Lytechinus pictus: one gene and its partner. The protein of the gene in region 2 purifies or fractionates together with the protein of the main gene of each other region. This does not show direct contact. Links are inferred from orthologs where the notes say so. Each region holds a gene or a part of one and is shown on either strand. Other genes may lie near its edges.

The links. The genes of interacting proteins can lie anywhere in the genome.
Region 1: the proteins of histone deacetylase 1 (region 2) and lysine-specific demethylase 5A-like purify together in Drosophila melanogaster (affinity purification with western blotting; 3 studies listed by BioGRID, with this or other methods). This does not show direct contact. The link is inferred for Lytechinus pictus from reciprocal best matches to the Drosophila melanogaster genes HDAC1 and Kdm5.

What each region holds. Positions count from the first base shown.
Region 1 is NC_087247.1:31,238,719-31,246,241, forward strand, and holds the start of lysine-specific demethylase 5A-like, read left to right. Parts: upstream 1-4,441; 5' UTR 4,442-4,602; coding exon 4,603-4,749; intron 4,750-7,523. UniProt on the Drosophila melanogaster protein: Histone demethylase that specifically demethylates 'Lys-4' of histone H3, thereby playing a central role in histone code. Does not demethylate histone H3 'Lys-9', H3 'Lys-27', H3 'Lys-36', H3 'Lys-79' or H4 'Lys-20'.
Region 2 is NC_087261.1:582,934-590,918, forward strand, and holds the start of histone deacetylase 1, read left to right. Parts: upstream 1-4,912; 5' UTR 4,913-4,956; coding exon 4,957-5,031; intron 5,032-7,985. UniProt on the Drosophila melanogaster protein: Catalyzes the deacetylation of lysine residues on the N-terminal part of the core histones (H2A, H2B, H3 and H4).

The DNA.
Region 1 (7,523 bases), on a different chromosome or scaffold from region 2:
TAATGAAAGTTAAATTTCCGAGCTGAAATACGTTTTGTATTTGGACTTCAAAATTTGATATTTTAAGCTCCATATTGAGCAAGATATGTAAATCACCTAAAGGGTTATGCGAGCGCGAAGCGCGAGCGAAAATTTTATATCCCGACATGAAAGATTTTTAAAATTATTTTCCAAGTCTTCCCCCATCTTATTTTATTCACTCGTCTTCCTCCTCTTATGTTTCTTCTTCTTTTTTTCTCCTCTCTTTTCCCTTCTTTTTTTTTCTTTTTTTTTCTCCGCCAATAGGGGGGGGGGGCGGGCCCCTCGGGCCCCCCTGGATCCGCCTATGGTGCTGCACTCGACCCAGGTTAGGTGAATGGGTACCCGGTAGGATCTATACCTTGAAAGCTTTAGCGCCTATACGGCGCGCGCGGCTCAGCTACAGCCGGGGTAATGATGATACCAAGTATCCCGACAAGTATCAAGCAATTATAGTAGCTGCGCTATACAAATGGAACATAAATAATAATTATTTTTATTACTATTATTATTATGGTCCTGGGAAGCAGGGGTGCTATGGGGGTGAAGCACCACCCCCCCCCCCCCTAAAATTTTCCTTGGGAGTGCTGCGCCGTGTGTTACCATATAAATGACAAAAATGTAATGAAAAGTGAACGAGATTTATTAGGAAAACCTTTTTTTTCTGTGGACCAAAACCACTTTTATTCTGGATTGAACCCCCCTGTTTTTTTTTATTGCTTGTTAAATATTTCTCGGGACCGAAAGCACCTCAATTTTAAGTAAAAACTTCTTCTTTTTTTTTTGGTTGTCAAATTCACATCAGCACTCCCTCTCTAAAAATCGCTCCCAGAGCCCTGGTCAACTCATCCTCTCCGAGTGAACAGGGGTATTTTCAGTAGTATGATTATAATTGCCTTAAAGCTTAAATAAAAAGTGTCATTCAAGATGAACAGGGTCTAGGTCCCTTCGTCAATATCATAGACGCCTTTAGGCCGATCCAGGGGGGTGAGGAACCCCCCCCCCCCCCCATTTGCGGAGCAAAAACGAAAGAAAAAGGGGAAAGAAAGAAAAGAATGGAAAGAGGGGAGAACAAACAAAAGAAGAGGAAAAAAGAGGCGGAAGACGAGTGAATAAAATAAGGTGAGGGGAAGACTTGGAAAAAAAATCTTTCATACGGTCATTAAAAAAAAATTCGCTCGCGCTCGCATTGCATGTTCGGTGACTCACTGAACATGTAATACATAATCATATCTTGCTCAATAGGCTGATATGGAGCTTTAAATATCAAGTATCGAAGTCAATATACAAAATATATTTTAGTTCGGACGTCGAGCTTTCATTATTTTGTTTGATTTACAAATTGATTTTCAAAAAGTGTTCAGTTGTAAAATGTCCGTTTTATTGTCTGAGTATCAACATTTTCAGCTCGCGCTGCGCGCTCGCATTATTTGATTTGCAAAATACCTATTCTCTTAGTGTGTTCCATAAAGTGATCTAAATTATATCCCTTTCCGGTTTGATTGTCAAAACCAATATAGCTAGCACTGCGCGCTCGCATTTTGATTGGTGAGTAATGTATACCTCTATTGATATTATATAACAAACTTTATGATCCCATTTTCCTGACGTTTTATCAAAAATTTTGACTAGCGATTTGCACTCGCATTAATAAATTGTTGATAATATATGAACCCATGCATATCCTATTCATAACCGGGATTCATAATTACCAAATTGCTTTCTCCAGTTTTCATTGAATTTTTTCGGCCCCCCCCCCCCCATCATGGCGAAAGCTGGATATCCGCCCCTGAAATATCTCAGGTATTTATAGGACAGATTCTGGATCATAATTATCTGTGTAATAAAGTTACGCGGCCCAGGCCCCTCATTTTCATAATTTTCTTGATACTTTTCCCTTTCTCCCTTTTAATTCTTGTTTTGAATTCTTGACGCAGTCCCTCGGGCTTGACATCATAGGAGGTGGTTCCCTCCCCCTCCCCAGGGGCGGATCCAGCCTTCGCCAATAGGGGGGGGGGGCTGAATTTTTTTCAGCCATATTTCCCCCGATCGGCCGCTCGAAGATGATTTTTGGTTTCTTTGAAGGGGTAATCCTAATAGTCACTTCTTAGCTTTATTCTTATAAATCAACATAAATATATAATATCATAATCCTTATTTATATAATGCGAGCGCGAAGCGCGAGCTAAATTTTTTGGAAATCTTATGCATTTTTTTCCTAAAATATGAACATTCTGGGCAATTTTTGTTATCCTGAAAAAGATGTGTATGCAACTAAATAATTACTACGAACGCGAAGCGCGAGCAGAAATGAACTGATGGAAAAAGTACTTGTTAAAGACTGTATGCAGTTAGCCATGAAGACGTTATATTTTAGAAATCAAATAATGCGAGCGCGAGCTGAAAATTTTTGACATTTTTACCTAAAGAATGGAAATTCTGAGCACTTTTTGTAACTTAAACAGAATAGGTATATAACTAAACATTGATGCGAGCGGAAAATTTTCGAGATTTAGACCCACTGAACGAGACACTCTATTCATGTTTTGTAAATCATGAAAAGGATGAGTAATTGGGGATCTTCCTTACACTAATAATGCTAGCGCAAAGCGTGAGCAGAACATTTTTATACGCGTTTTGAACTGATCGAAAAAGTACCTATTAAGGACTACTTGCATGCACTTAGCCATGAAGACGTTTACATATTTCAACAATCAAATAATGCGAGCGCAAAGCGCGAGCTGAAAATTTTCACATTTCTGCATTAGAATGGAAAATTTTAATCAATTTGTGTAATCGTGAACAGGATAGCTATATAACTAAACATTGATGCGAGCGCGAAGCGCGAGCGGAAAAAAAATCGAGATTTAGACCCCAAAACGGGACACGCTATTCATGTTTTGTAAATCATGAAAAGAATGAGTCATAGGGGATCTCCCTACATTAATAATGCGAACACAAAGCACGAGCAGAATTTTTTTGATATTGTGATCTGAAACTGGATAATGATTTAAATAGAGAACAAGTTGAGTATCTGAATAAACATGTGCGCGCGTGTTTCATATTTTGACATAGAATCTAGGCATTCTATATACATATTTTATCATGAAAATAAAAGCGAGCGCGAGAAGCGCGAGCTTAAACTATTTGATATTCCGATCTGAAAAAAGAGTCAATTTCAGCTCTCTATTTCAAGCACTTTGTAGGAAAATTGTGAGGCGGATATCGATCGCACTTGATAAAGAGCTGATATTTTTCATTATAATTACTTTGAGTTTTGACATAGGACATAGGACACCGGATAGGACATCCTTAGGACATGTCATCATAATTATGAAAATGATGACTGTCTTCCTATTCTTCTTGCTAAGCGCGAGATGAAACAAAAGGGACATTTCAATTATTAAATTGATATCTTATTCATTAATGCCTAATGAGGGCGCGAAATCTGATGATATTATGGCCTGAAACTGGATATTTCAAGCACTTTTGTAATTATAAATAGGTTGCATCAGTTAATATGTCTTTAACCATTAACGCGAACGCAAATTGCGAGCCTAAGTTTTTTAAACACTGTCATGAAAAGGGAATTTTAAGAAGTTTGTTATGTAATCAATATTGAGACATACATAACTCGACCATCAAAATGCGAGCATGCAGCGCTAGCTGATACGTTGTGACAATCAAACCTGAAAAGGGATATTTTGACAACTTAATGGAATACACGAAAATAATAAGTACCTGATAAATCAAAATTTGCTAGCGCGCAGCGCGAGCAGAAAATGTTAATATTCAGACCATAAAACTGACATTTTTACAAAGCAATTTTTAAAAATCATTTAGTAAATCTCACAAAATAATGAAAGTTCGATTTTTAGAGATGAAATATGTTTTGTATATTGACTTCCAAACTTGATATTTAAACTCCATATTGAACAAGATAACCTTTATTGAACAAAATCACATAACAGGCAATGCGAGCGCGAAGCACGAGCAAATTTTATTTTTATAGTGACATCATAAGATTCTTTTCATTTTCCAAGTCTTCCCCTCATCTTATTTTATTCACTCGTCTTCCTCCATTCCTTTTTTCTCCTCTCTTTTCCCTCCTTTTTTTGTTGTTTGTTTATTTCTTTCCTTTTTTTTTTGCTCCGTCAATAGGGGGCGGGGGGGGCGGGCCCCTCGGGCCCCCCTGGATCCGCATATGCGTCCCCCTCTAATGAAAGGAAAAGATCACGGGTCTAGTCAGGTTGTCATCTTTTAGAAGAATAGATCAGTTTACAAAACCTTTTATTAAACCATGCAAACTGCTTTTAGATTATTAGACATTTTAATTTTAACTTGAAAGTAAAGGGGCATTGAACTCCGTCCGACTCCATCCATACGCTGCTGTACACATGCGCAATGGTGACGTGCAGCTCGCATATCGATAGCTTATCGTGCGATTACGATATCTACGTACGGTAATGTTTTCGACTTCGGAGAGGAACATTTTTATCACAAATATGTGACTGAAAACACATCTCTTTAAGGAGTAATCTGTGGTGTGACTAAATAATAAAGGATTTTATTGGAATCATAATCATGGATGACGGTCAGGCTTTCGTTCCACCACCGGAAGCTCCCGTTTTTGAACCATCAGAGGAAGATTTCTCGGACCCCCTCGCTTACATTGCCAAGATACGGCCCATTGCAGAGAAAACTGGCATTTGTAAAATTAGACCTCCTCCGGTAAGACAACCGAAATGTGTTTTAATACAATTCAGTTTTAACATATTTTTCTCTTGTCATTCATTGAATGTTTGCTCTCAAATGTTAGGTAATATTCCTTTCTACGGTAATCTTGTCCCCAATTCCCACATAAATATATTAGATTTTGTACTTTCACTTAAAATGAAGGAGTTGTTTATCTCGCTTTTGACTTTGCTCCCATAGTTGATCGTGTGTCTGCCTATGCAGCGTAGAGGTTGCGCTAATGTCACTGCGTGCAAACGCTCCCTCGGCTTTTGTTCGAACTCGACGAATGTGATGCAACGATGCTAATTCAGAAAAAACTTCCTTCAAATAATTCGTTTTCGTAGCGTATATATTGAAGAAATCAGGAAGTTTTTACCATCAGTTGATAGGCAAATGGTGTGCTGACAATTTCAATATCATTTTTTGGACTGCCCATCTCAATTTTATCTGACATTTTCATCCCCATGAAGCAGTCAGAAAACTGTTAATTCAGACATTTTGCTGGAGTGGGTTGAATAATCTGGTGAACTGCAAGTTGAGAATGCCAAATGACCATATTCTGTTTCACATAAATTGAAATATTCTGATACACAAACAGTATTTTCAAGCAAAATTGACCAGAATTCCAATTACCTGCATTTTCTTGTACAAAATTCTTCAGAAATCCCTTTTGCATTTTATTTTCAACAATCCAAATATTGACAAATTGTGAACAATTTGCTTTGACAAAATGGCCACCCTGCTGCTCACTGGCACAGCACAGCTGTGTCATGAGTGACATGGGAATGGGATTTTTGTGCACATTTAAACCCCGTTGTTACCTTTTTTATGTCCAGATAGGTTTTGAATCTGGACGAACAGAAAAAATATTACATAGGTCTAGATGTAGATGGGGATTTCAAGAATAATTTCATAATAAGGGTCTAGACTCAAGCTAGGCCTTGAGTTGAGATCTACATACATATGCATGTACACTGTAGTAGAAAATTCATATTGAAAATTTCACACTAGTTATCACAGATGTACCGTATGGGTACTAGTATTCAACCCGGCATAATTCAAAGATTTTGACATATTCCCCAAAATATTTAGAAATAGGGAATTTATCTTAATTTCATACCTTTGTTATTTCCAGGATAATCTGTTGTCGATATTTTCTTTGTCAATCTGTCGACTGTAGGCGCGGAGGATCGAATTATGCGGCGATGGCCTTTTGCACTGAATGGTACTAGTATTCAACCTAGTGAGGATTGATAGCAAATCTCAAAAGGGTTTAGATTGCTAAATTAGATCTAGATCTATGTAAGTCTCTGGCTTTGATTAATTCCCTGTTTGGTCTCATCTCAAATGGTCTAGTCCATAGTCGGATGGGACAAGGGCAGATTGAGAGACAGGGCCATCTTTCATCGCTAGGTTGAAAACTAGTGCCGACGGGTTGAATACTAGTACCAAAATCCCTCGCCGTATAATTCGATCGCCCGCGCACACAGTCAACTGGTTGAAGAAAAAAATAACAGAAAAAGAATAACCAGCATTTGCTCTTGGAAATAAGACGGGTCTGAAATTCAGGTAAATTCTATATTTCTATATATTTGAGGAAACTCTCCAAACGGGTTGAATACTAGTGCCCTTACGGTATGTCATGAATCTAACAAGAAACTACATGTACTTTCAAATTTAAATATTGTCATATTCATCTTGAGCATAAAGAAACCTATTCATTCCTCATCAAACTGTAGACACAGTTTGAGGAATATCTGAAATACTGTAAGAAATCAAGTGAAACATAATTGCCAAATCTAGGGGTCTGCTGATCTGGTTAAAAAGTTTACTGAAAAGGCTTTCGAGAAACATGTAGGCTTACACAATCTTTTCACATGGACATGGATCATTAGACATGCAGTGATCATGACTTCAGACCTGACATGTTGCCATTGTGTTTATTATCTTGTGACATGAAGAAAATCTCTTTTTTTTTCCAAAGAAACCACAGCAGATATGGACTTTTCTGTCCATAGCCTTTTCTTACAATACGTGTATGGTATGATTAACATGCAGGTTTAATCAAAATTCTTGAAATTAATGGTTATGCGGACATTGGCACCATTTGGTAAATTCTTTTTACAGTACTTACTTATGCCTATGGTAAGGTCCCCCAAGTCTGCGCATACATGTACAGTACCAGTCATCAATCTCCGAGTACATGCGGCGAGCCATTTCCGGCCGTTGCAGCATACATGATTACATGTACCATGTACGTGTATCTGCGCAATTCGAATACAAGGAGACATGCAACGACCACAAACTTTATTGCAATACATGAACAGATAATCATTAAAAAATCCTACTTAAAACGGTGAAAAAATATTGAATTTCAGACATTTCATGTGATGGCCACAAAATGCAGCCTTGGCTGGATTTACAAAAATGTATAAATCGCTTTATGCAATGCAGGCTTGTTACGATCATCTGCGTTTGCGGAGCGGGGATGGCTGCACCCTTTCAAGAAAACCAGGGGAGCTTTTCTCGAAAGGGTGGGTTGAGGGAGGGGAGTAAAATAAACGCACCTTTTCGCAACAACCGGGTCGAGCTTTTCACGAAAGGCTGTGTTTAATAGTTTTCTGAACCAGTCGTTTCTCTGAAAATTATTCATCAAATAATAACAACAATATACTATTTATAGACTATTAGTATAGGCCCACAGATGGGGGGAGGGGCTTGAGGCACTTCCTCAAGCCCCCCCCCAAACAAAAAAATGACGACTAAAA
Region 2 (7,985 bases):
TAATACTTTGAAACTTTTGGGATGGTATTTTTACACTATAAGCCTAATGTTAAGCCCATTTTCAAGAACCAAAATGAGAATTTTTAAATCAGAACAAAGTGAAATGATCACTTTAAAAATTGTATGGGTACATTTGAAGCCCTTAGATATATGCTTCAAGCTGATATATTGATTGTTTCTCTAATAAAATCTATTTGGATTTTACAGCCATTTTTGTCAAAAATTTTCCAACTAACCCCGGTCTCCCCTAATGAAGTTTTTAGTTTGCAAAGTAATCAGTATTTTTGTAACTAAAGGAGAATCATTAATAATTAAATCCTTTGATTCGGGGGATTGACCCCATGTATGGGTCCTAGGTTCCTTACACTGTGCAAGATAGGTCCATCTGGATCTGTGTAGGAAGAGAAACCAAATTTTTTTTTTTTTTAAGTGTGAAATTTATAAATATCTTCCAAACAGACAGAGTTCAGCCAATACAATACTTGAATTTTCATGATTAGACATTGCAAGACATGTGTTTTCTCTTAAATATTTCTTCCTATTCAAATTTAAACTTGCCATAATAATGATTGGACATGAAAATGTGGCAATCAGCAGAAATACAAGACTAAATAAACTCAATCAATGTTTAGAGCAAGGTTTTACTAAGTGATTACTTAAACTTTTTTTTTTAGAAATGGCAAAGAATGATTTTCCTGATGGTTGCACCCTATCCTGCACAGAAAGCAGTTGTGTGTTGATTGGCTGATTGTTTGGTGGGACATTTGAAACCATGCAGTGTTAATCTTTGTATGATACATGTATGCATTTAAATGTCCATTTATGAATTGAACTTCATGGTGAAAGTTTCAGGAGTTGTTTTTAAGTATTCAAGGAATCGTGAATTGGAAAAATTTAAACTAAGGCAAAGTTTTCCTTTAAATCGATTCAATGTACAATTTAATGGGAAAGTTCACCCTGACAAAAAGTTAATTGTAATTAATAGCAGAAAAAATAATGAAAAATATTGTCGAAGGTTGGAGCAAAATCCATCTAAGAATAAAAAAGGTTATTGGAATTTTATATATTTGATTTGTGACATCATAAGCTAGCAGCTTTCCTACATATCGTATGGTAAAATATCAATGAAATGTCATTTTAGAAAATTGAAAATGGTTTTTACTGTAGGGGAGACCGGGGTTAGTTGGAACATTTTTGACAAAAATGGCTGTAAAATCCAAAAAAGATTTTATTCGAGAAACAATCAATATATCAGCTTGAAGCATATATCTACAGGCTTCAAATGTACCCCATAAAATTTTTAACTCTATATGGATACTGAAAAAAATCCACCTTGAACAAGACCATCGCAAACGTTCCAACTTACCCCAATACGGGGTAAGTTGGAACATGGTATGGGGTAAGTTGGAACACTGCATGGTCAATTAAGAATTATACTAAAACTACTTAAAACTGTAATATTACATGGTTTTAGCCTATTTGCTTTATTTTATTCAAGTTCAAAATATCAAAGTGTGGATTCATTGAACTTTATGTTTTCTATTATACAGCCACTCATGCAAGCAGACTGTGTAGTAGAATTCCGCATATTTGGGTGTGTTTGATTTTACATGCAATTAGGTGTACTATCAGTAATTTCATGTACTTCTGCATCAACTTTATAAGACAAAAATTAATTGTTTATAGTTTTTCATTAATTAATTATGCAAATAACTACAAATAAGCATATGAAATTTGCCCTAAATTTGCTTTTTTTGGTATGTTTTTGCCTTTAACTCTATTTATTAAGCTAGTAGAATGCTAATTTTTGGTGAGAGTATCAATTTTCACATTTATAACAAATATCCACCAAAAATGGCAAAAAATATAATTTCTTATGTATTTTTTGTTTTTTTTATTTGTATTTTCGAACTTTATTCCGATGAACTTTTTCGGGACTCTTTTGCGATCATAAATAGCATAAAATAAATCTATTTGAACCAACAAAAGTAAAAAATAATTATACATTTATGACTTTTGGGTTGAAAAACATAATTTGCATTGACCTTGTACATGGAATCACGTTTTTGAACAATTTGGGGTTTGACCATGCACGTACAAATTGTTGCGTAAATTCGAAACCGCGCACACAGGCATCGCAAATTTGGTCTCAAATGATGCGCAAGACTTGAAAGAAAAAAGTCAGCGAGCAGTGTAGTAAAAAAAAATTCGCGCGACGGCGTAGTGGCGAAATTTCTCGAGGGGGGGGGGGGGGCTCAAATTGACCCCCAGTTTGATAAGGGTTAATATTGCATTAGGGGCCTACCATAGGCCTTAAATGCACACTCAGACCTAACTGATAAACAAAACAAGCATGGTATACAATACATGTTCAGAAGAGCGTGAAATACTTTATATATTTTTTCTCATATCCAATTTTTTTATTCATAATTATGTTTGGGATAAGTTGGAACATGTTCCAACTAGCCCCTTCAATTTTGTTCCAACTAACCCCGGAGGCCCATTTGACGTTTATAAGCTTACAGCACAAAAAAGGAACTTGACCATGGCATATTAATAACATAATTTTGTAGCTTGGTATAAGTGTCTATTATACCCCCAAACTGGCCAACTTGATCTATAAACTTCTCTGAGATAATCAAACATTTCTGAAAGAGAAAAAAATTACTCAGAAGGTCAGAAAACAAAAATTCCTTTCTAACTTCACCAGGCTTGTTGCACATGTGTTGTCTGTAATATGGTGGATGGCTGTTGATAATGACAATAAATAGGGGGCAGTATTGCAGAAATTTATTTAAAGACGTGAAAGAAAATTACAATGTTTCAACTTACCCCGCGTTCCAACTAACCCCGGTCTCCCCTACCTTCAGTATATCAATACATAAATCATTTCACACCCGTGTCTTAAAAGAAAACAAAAATAAGTCATCAAAAACCATTAAAAAATTGAAATTTATGCATTTTATATCATATATAACATATGGGGCAGCTGCTCGTTTATGATGTCACAAATCCAAAACTTTAAATTCTGATAACTTTCTTAATCTTTAATGGATTTTCCTCAAACCTTCAGCAGTATTTGTCATTATTTTTCTGCTATTTTTACAACAAACTTTTCATCAGGGTGGGTGAACTTCCCCTTTAAACAGGTCCTCGATCAGTTACATATAAAAGCATGCTGCTGTTTGATTCAAATTGATGCATCAATGCATAGGAAGTATATTTATTCCACATGTGTGCTATAAATCATCAAGGTAGATCACATCAACTGTACAAATGTACTATACTATGTCACAGACTGTTTAGTTTTATCAAGTACCTGTCTTCAAGTTACTGAACCCCACTATCCTCCTCTCTTCAGCCTGGATGTTAAAGGACAAGTCCACCCCAACAAAAAGTTGATTTTCAAAAAGGAGAAAAATCCAACTAGCAAAACACTGAAAATTTCATCAAAATCGGATGTAAACTGAGTTATGACATTTTAAAGTTTCGCTTAATTTAAAAAACAGAATTATATGCACATCCTGGTCGTTATGCAAATTGGCAGACTGATGACGTCACCCACTCACTATTTCTTTTGTATTTTATTATATGAAATATGAAATATTCTAATTTTCTCCTACTTGTCAAGTGAAACAAAGTTTTATTCCTCCCTGAACATGTGGAATTACCATTATTCTAACAGTTTATGGTTAAGTTAAGTTGGTCCTTATTGTCAAATCTGTAAAAATTGAAATATTGTATTATTCAATATGAAATATTCTAATTTTCTCCTACTTGTCAAGTGAAACAAAGTTTTATTTCTCCCTGAACATGTGGAATTACCATTATTCTAACAGTTTATGGTTAAGTTAAGTTGGTCCTTATTGTCAAATCTGTAAAAATTCAAATATTGTATTATTCAATATGAAATATTCTAATTTTCTCCTACTTGTCAAGTGAAACAAAGTTTTATTTCTCCCTGAACATGTGGAATTACCATTATTCTAACAGTTTATGGTTAAGTTAAGTTGGTCCTTATTGTCAAATCTGTAAAAATTCAAATATTGTATTATTCAAACAAAAGAAATAGTGAGTGATGGACATCATGGACTCTCTCATTTGCATATCGCTGAGTTGTGCATTTAACTTTTTTGTGAAAAATAAGCGAAACTTTACAATGTCATAACTTTCTTATTTTACACCCGATTTCGATGAAATTTGCAGCGTTATGTTTGTTTTATTTTTCTCTATCGATTCTAATCAACAATTTTCTGGGGTGGACTTGACCTTTAATGATGCAGGTTGATAATTAGGTAGCTTAGGCAGGGCCCGACATTAGCAGTGGCCTGATTGCCCGGGGCAACCAGAAATGAGAGTTGGGCCACCAAAATTCTTTACAAGCCCACACTTTGTTGCCCGGTTTGGCTACCAAAGTTTTGATAAATTGTAATGTTTTCTATTGTTTTAGGGCCACCAAATTTGTTTTGTGGGCCACCGAAAATATGATATTGATGATTTTGGTGGACTGAGCGGCCACCCAAGAAAAAAGTTAAGTGTGAAGCTTTGGCTTAGGTCTTGAGATCGTGCTGTTTAAACTTGTTGCAGTAAAGTAGATTCAAAAGAAATTAAAAGAATCAAGATTTGCCTATTCATTCAGGGGCCCATATCATAAAAAAGTTGCTAAAATAGCAACTGTTTCTTGAATATTAACATTTGTTGGAAGAGCCAATCAGAAAGCAGGATTGTCACTGTTGTCATACTACTTGACATTTCAGCAACACTTGCAACATTTTGTGAAATGGGGTCCTGATGTTGTTAACCTTTACTATTGATGATATTTTTTACGATGATGGTACAGCGCCTGTCCACAATCACTATGCTTGTTTTATTTATTCAATGAAATAAATGAGTATTAATTTGTGTTTTATTATTGCAGGTGATGTTGGGAATTATTACTATGGACAAGGACATCCCATGAAACCGCATAGAATACGTATGACACATAATCTCATACTCAACTATGGACTCTACAGAAAGATGGAAATCTATGTAAGTATTTTAAATCTTTAAACATTAGAGGGTGCTCTTTCAGCTGAAGAGTTACCAACAACTGCACAAAGCTTTGCTATTCAAAGATCACTTGAGACTTGTTGGTTTGCAATCAAAAGAAAAATGATCAGAAGATATGCATGCTCACCAATTTCTATATTTTGCTCTTGTTGATGCTGACATTCCTTCAACTATTCTTAAGCCTGTAGCTTAATATAATAAATGCAAGATTTATTATGCTTCATCTATCTAGTAAACTATCCTGGGAAGCAGATGGAATGGGGGGGGGGGGGCTAAGGATTTACATATAAAATAATGTTTGCTTGCTGTATGTATGGGTGCATGAACAGATCAAATGAGGTTCCAATATTCAACAAAAATAAGATGAAAACATATATGATTTTAGATATTTTTCAAATGTTTAAAGTGAATCTGCTGAAAGGATCCTCAGTGGAACAGCATTCCAGAGAGATGAGCTGAAGAGGCAAATTCTTTTGTCCTCTTATTTATAGTCGGGTCCAGATTTGAGAAAAGTAGACTGCCTTAGGCAAATCGTGTTAATGCTGAATTGAGAAGTGTTTTAGCATAATTTGAGGGCGCTGAGTCCAAATTTGCTGTTTGCCAACCTTGATTTTGATGTTAAAATCCTCAAATTGGCAAAAACAATATGGCCGCCATTCTACACCCTTTTTTTGCTCTATTCTGAACCCCAAAACTTGTAACAAAAATGCTTGTAATTGGTTTTTGTCTGACCTGCATAGCAGAGTGAGACTATAGGCGCCGCTTTTCCGACGGCGGCGGCGTCAACACCAAATCTTAACCTGAGGTTAAGTTTTTGAAATGACAGCATAACTTAGAAAGTATATGGACCTAGTTCATGAAACTTGGCCATAAGGTTAATCAAGTATTACTGAACATCCTGCCTGAGTTTCATGTCACATGACCATGGTCAATGGTCATTTAGGGTCAATGAACTTAGACCATGTTGGGGGAATCAACATCAAAATCTTAACCTAAGGTTAAGTTTTTGAAATGTCATCATAACTTAGAAAATATATGGACCTAGTTCATGAAACTTATACATAAGGTTAATCAAGTATCACTGAACATCCTGCATGAGTTTCACGTCACATGACCAAGGTCAATGGTCATTTAGGGTCAATGAACTTTGGCCGAATTGGGGGTATCTGTAGATTTACCATCATAACTTTAAAGTTTATGGATCTGATTCATGAAACTTGGACATAATAGTAATCAAGTATTACTGAACATCCTGTGCAAGTTTCAGGTCACATGATCAAGGTCAAAGGTCATTTAGGGTCAATGAACTTTGGTCAAATTGGGGTATTTGTTGAATTACCGCCATAACTTTGAAAGTGTGTTGGTCTAGTTCATAAAACTTGGACATAAGAGTAATGAAGTATCACTGAACATCCTTTGCGCATTTTAGGTCACATGACCAAGGTCAAAGGTCAATGAACTTTGGCCATAATGGGGGTATCTGTTGAATTACCATCATAACTTGGAAAGTTGATGGATCTTTCTCTTGAAACTTGGACATAAGAGTAATCAAGTATCACTGAACATCCTGTGCGAGTTTCAGGTCACATGATCAAGGTCAGAGGTCATGTAAGGTCAATGAACTTTGGCCACGTTGGGGGTATTTGTTGAATTACCATCATATCTCTATAAGTGTATGGGTCTAGTTCATAAAACGTGGAAATAAGAGTAACCAAGTATCACTGAACATCTTGTGCGAGTTATAGTAGTTTTCAAAATCAGCACTGCTGCTATATTGAATCGCGTGATGCAGGTGAGACGGCCAGAGGCATTCCACTTGTTGGTACTATCTGCTCGCAGGAATAACGTATTAAAAATTTACCAATATCCAGAGACGGGGAAAATGGATGTTTTCAAGATGGCGTCTAAGATGGCCGCCATTAACTGAAAATTTAAATAACCGACACTTTATCTATACTAGACATCTTTTTCGGTGCATACATGTACATGTATTCAATGGTGTAGGGGGTAAAAAGAAAGAATGAACATAAGCACTCCCAGGTACCTGAAAATCCAAGATTGCGTAAAAATGGCTGCCATGGCCTAACAATTCACAATTCATCTATTACCTATTTTAGTGTCTTTTATTTGGGTTTTATTCATTGGTGATTTCAAGGGTCAGGAAGTAAACTGGGACAAGTTACAAGGGCAGTCAAGGGTCCCTTATGTCCAAAAATCCAAGATGGCTTTCGAAATTGGAGTCTAAAATAGATGTTGTTATCTTAAAACCCGATATACAGTAGTTTGTGTAATATCTGCCTTGAGGATTATGATGTTGGTGTCTAACCCTTGGTTTAATGGGTCAAGAAATATGTTGGGACAAGTAACAAAGACAGTCTATGGCCCTCCATGTCCAAAATCCAAGATGGTTTGCAAAAATGGAGTATAAAATGTCTGTTGTTAATTTCAAACCGACACAGTTTGTTTAATAACCGCCTGGGTATATGATTATGTTGTCTAACCCTTGATTTAAATGGTCAAGTAGTACATTAGGATAAGTTACAAGGGCAGTCAATGGTCCTGTATGTCTAAAAATCCAAGATGGCTTCCAATGAAGGAGTCTAAAATGGCTGCTGATACTCTGAATATGATTTTTTTAGTATAACCCATGGTTTAAAGGGTCAAGTATTACATTGGGACAAGTTACAAGGACAGTAATAGTGGTTCCAGTATGTCCAAAAATCCATAATGGCTTCCGAAAATGGAGTCTATAATGGCCGTTCTTACCAAAAAACTGACATAGTTTGTTTAATATCAGCCTGGGGTATATGATTTTGGTGTTTAACCCATGGTTTAAAGGGTCAAGTAATAAATAAAGACAAGTTACAAGGACAGCCAGAGGTCCAACATGTCCAAGAATCCAATAAGGCTTCCAAAATTGGAGTCTAAAATTG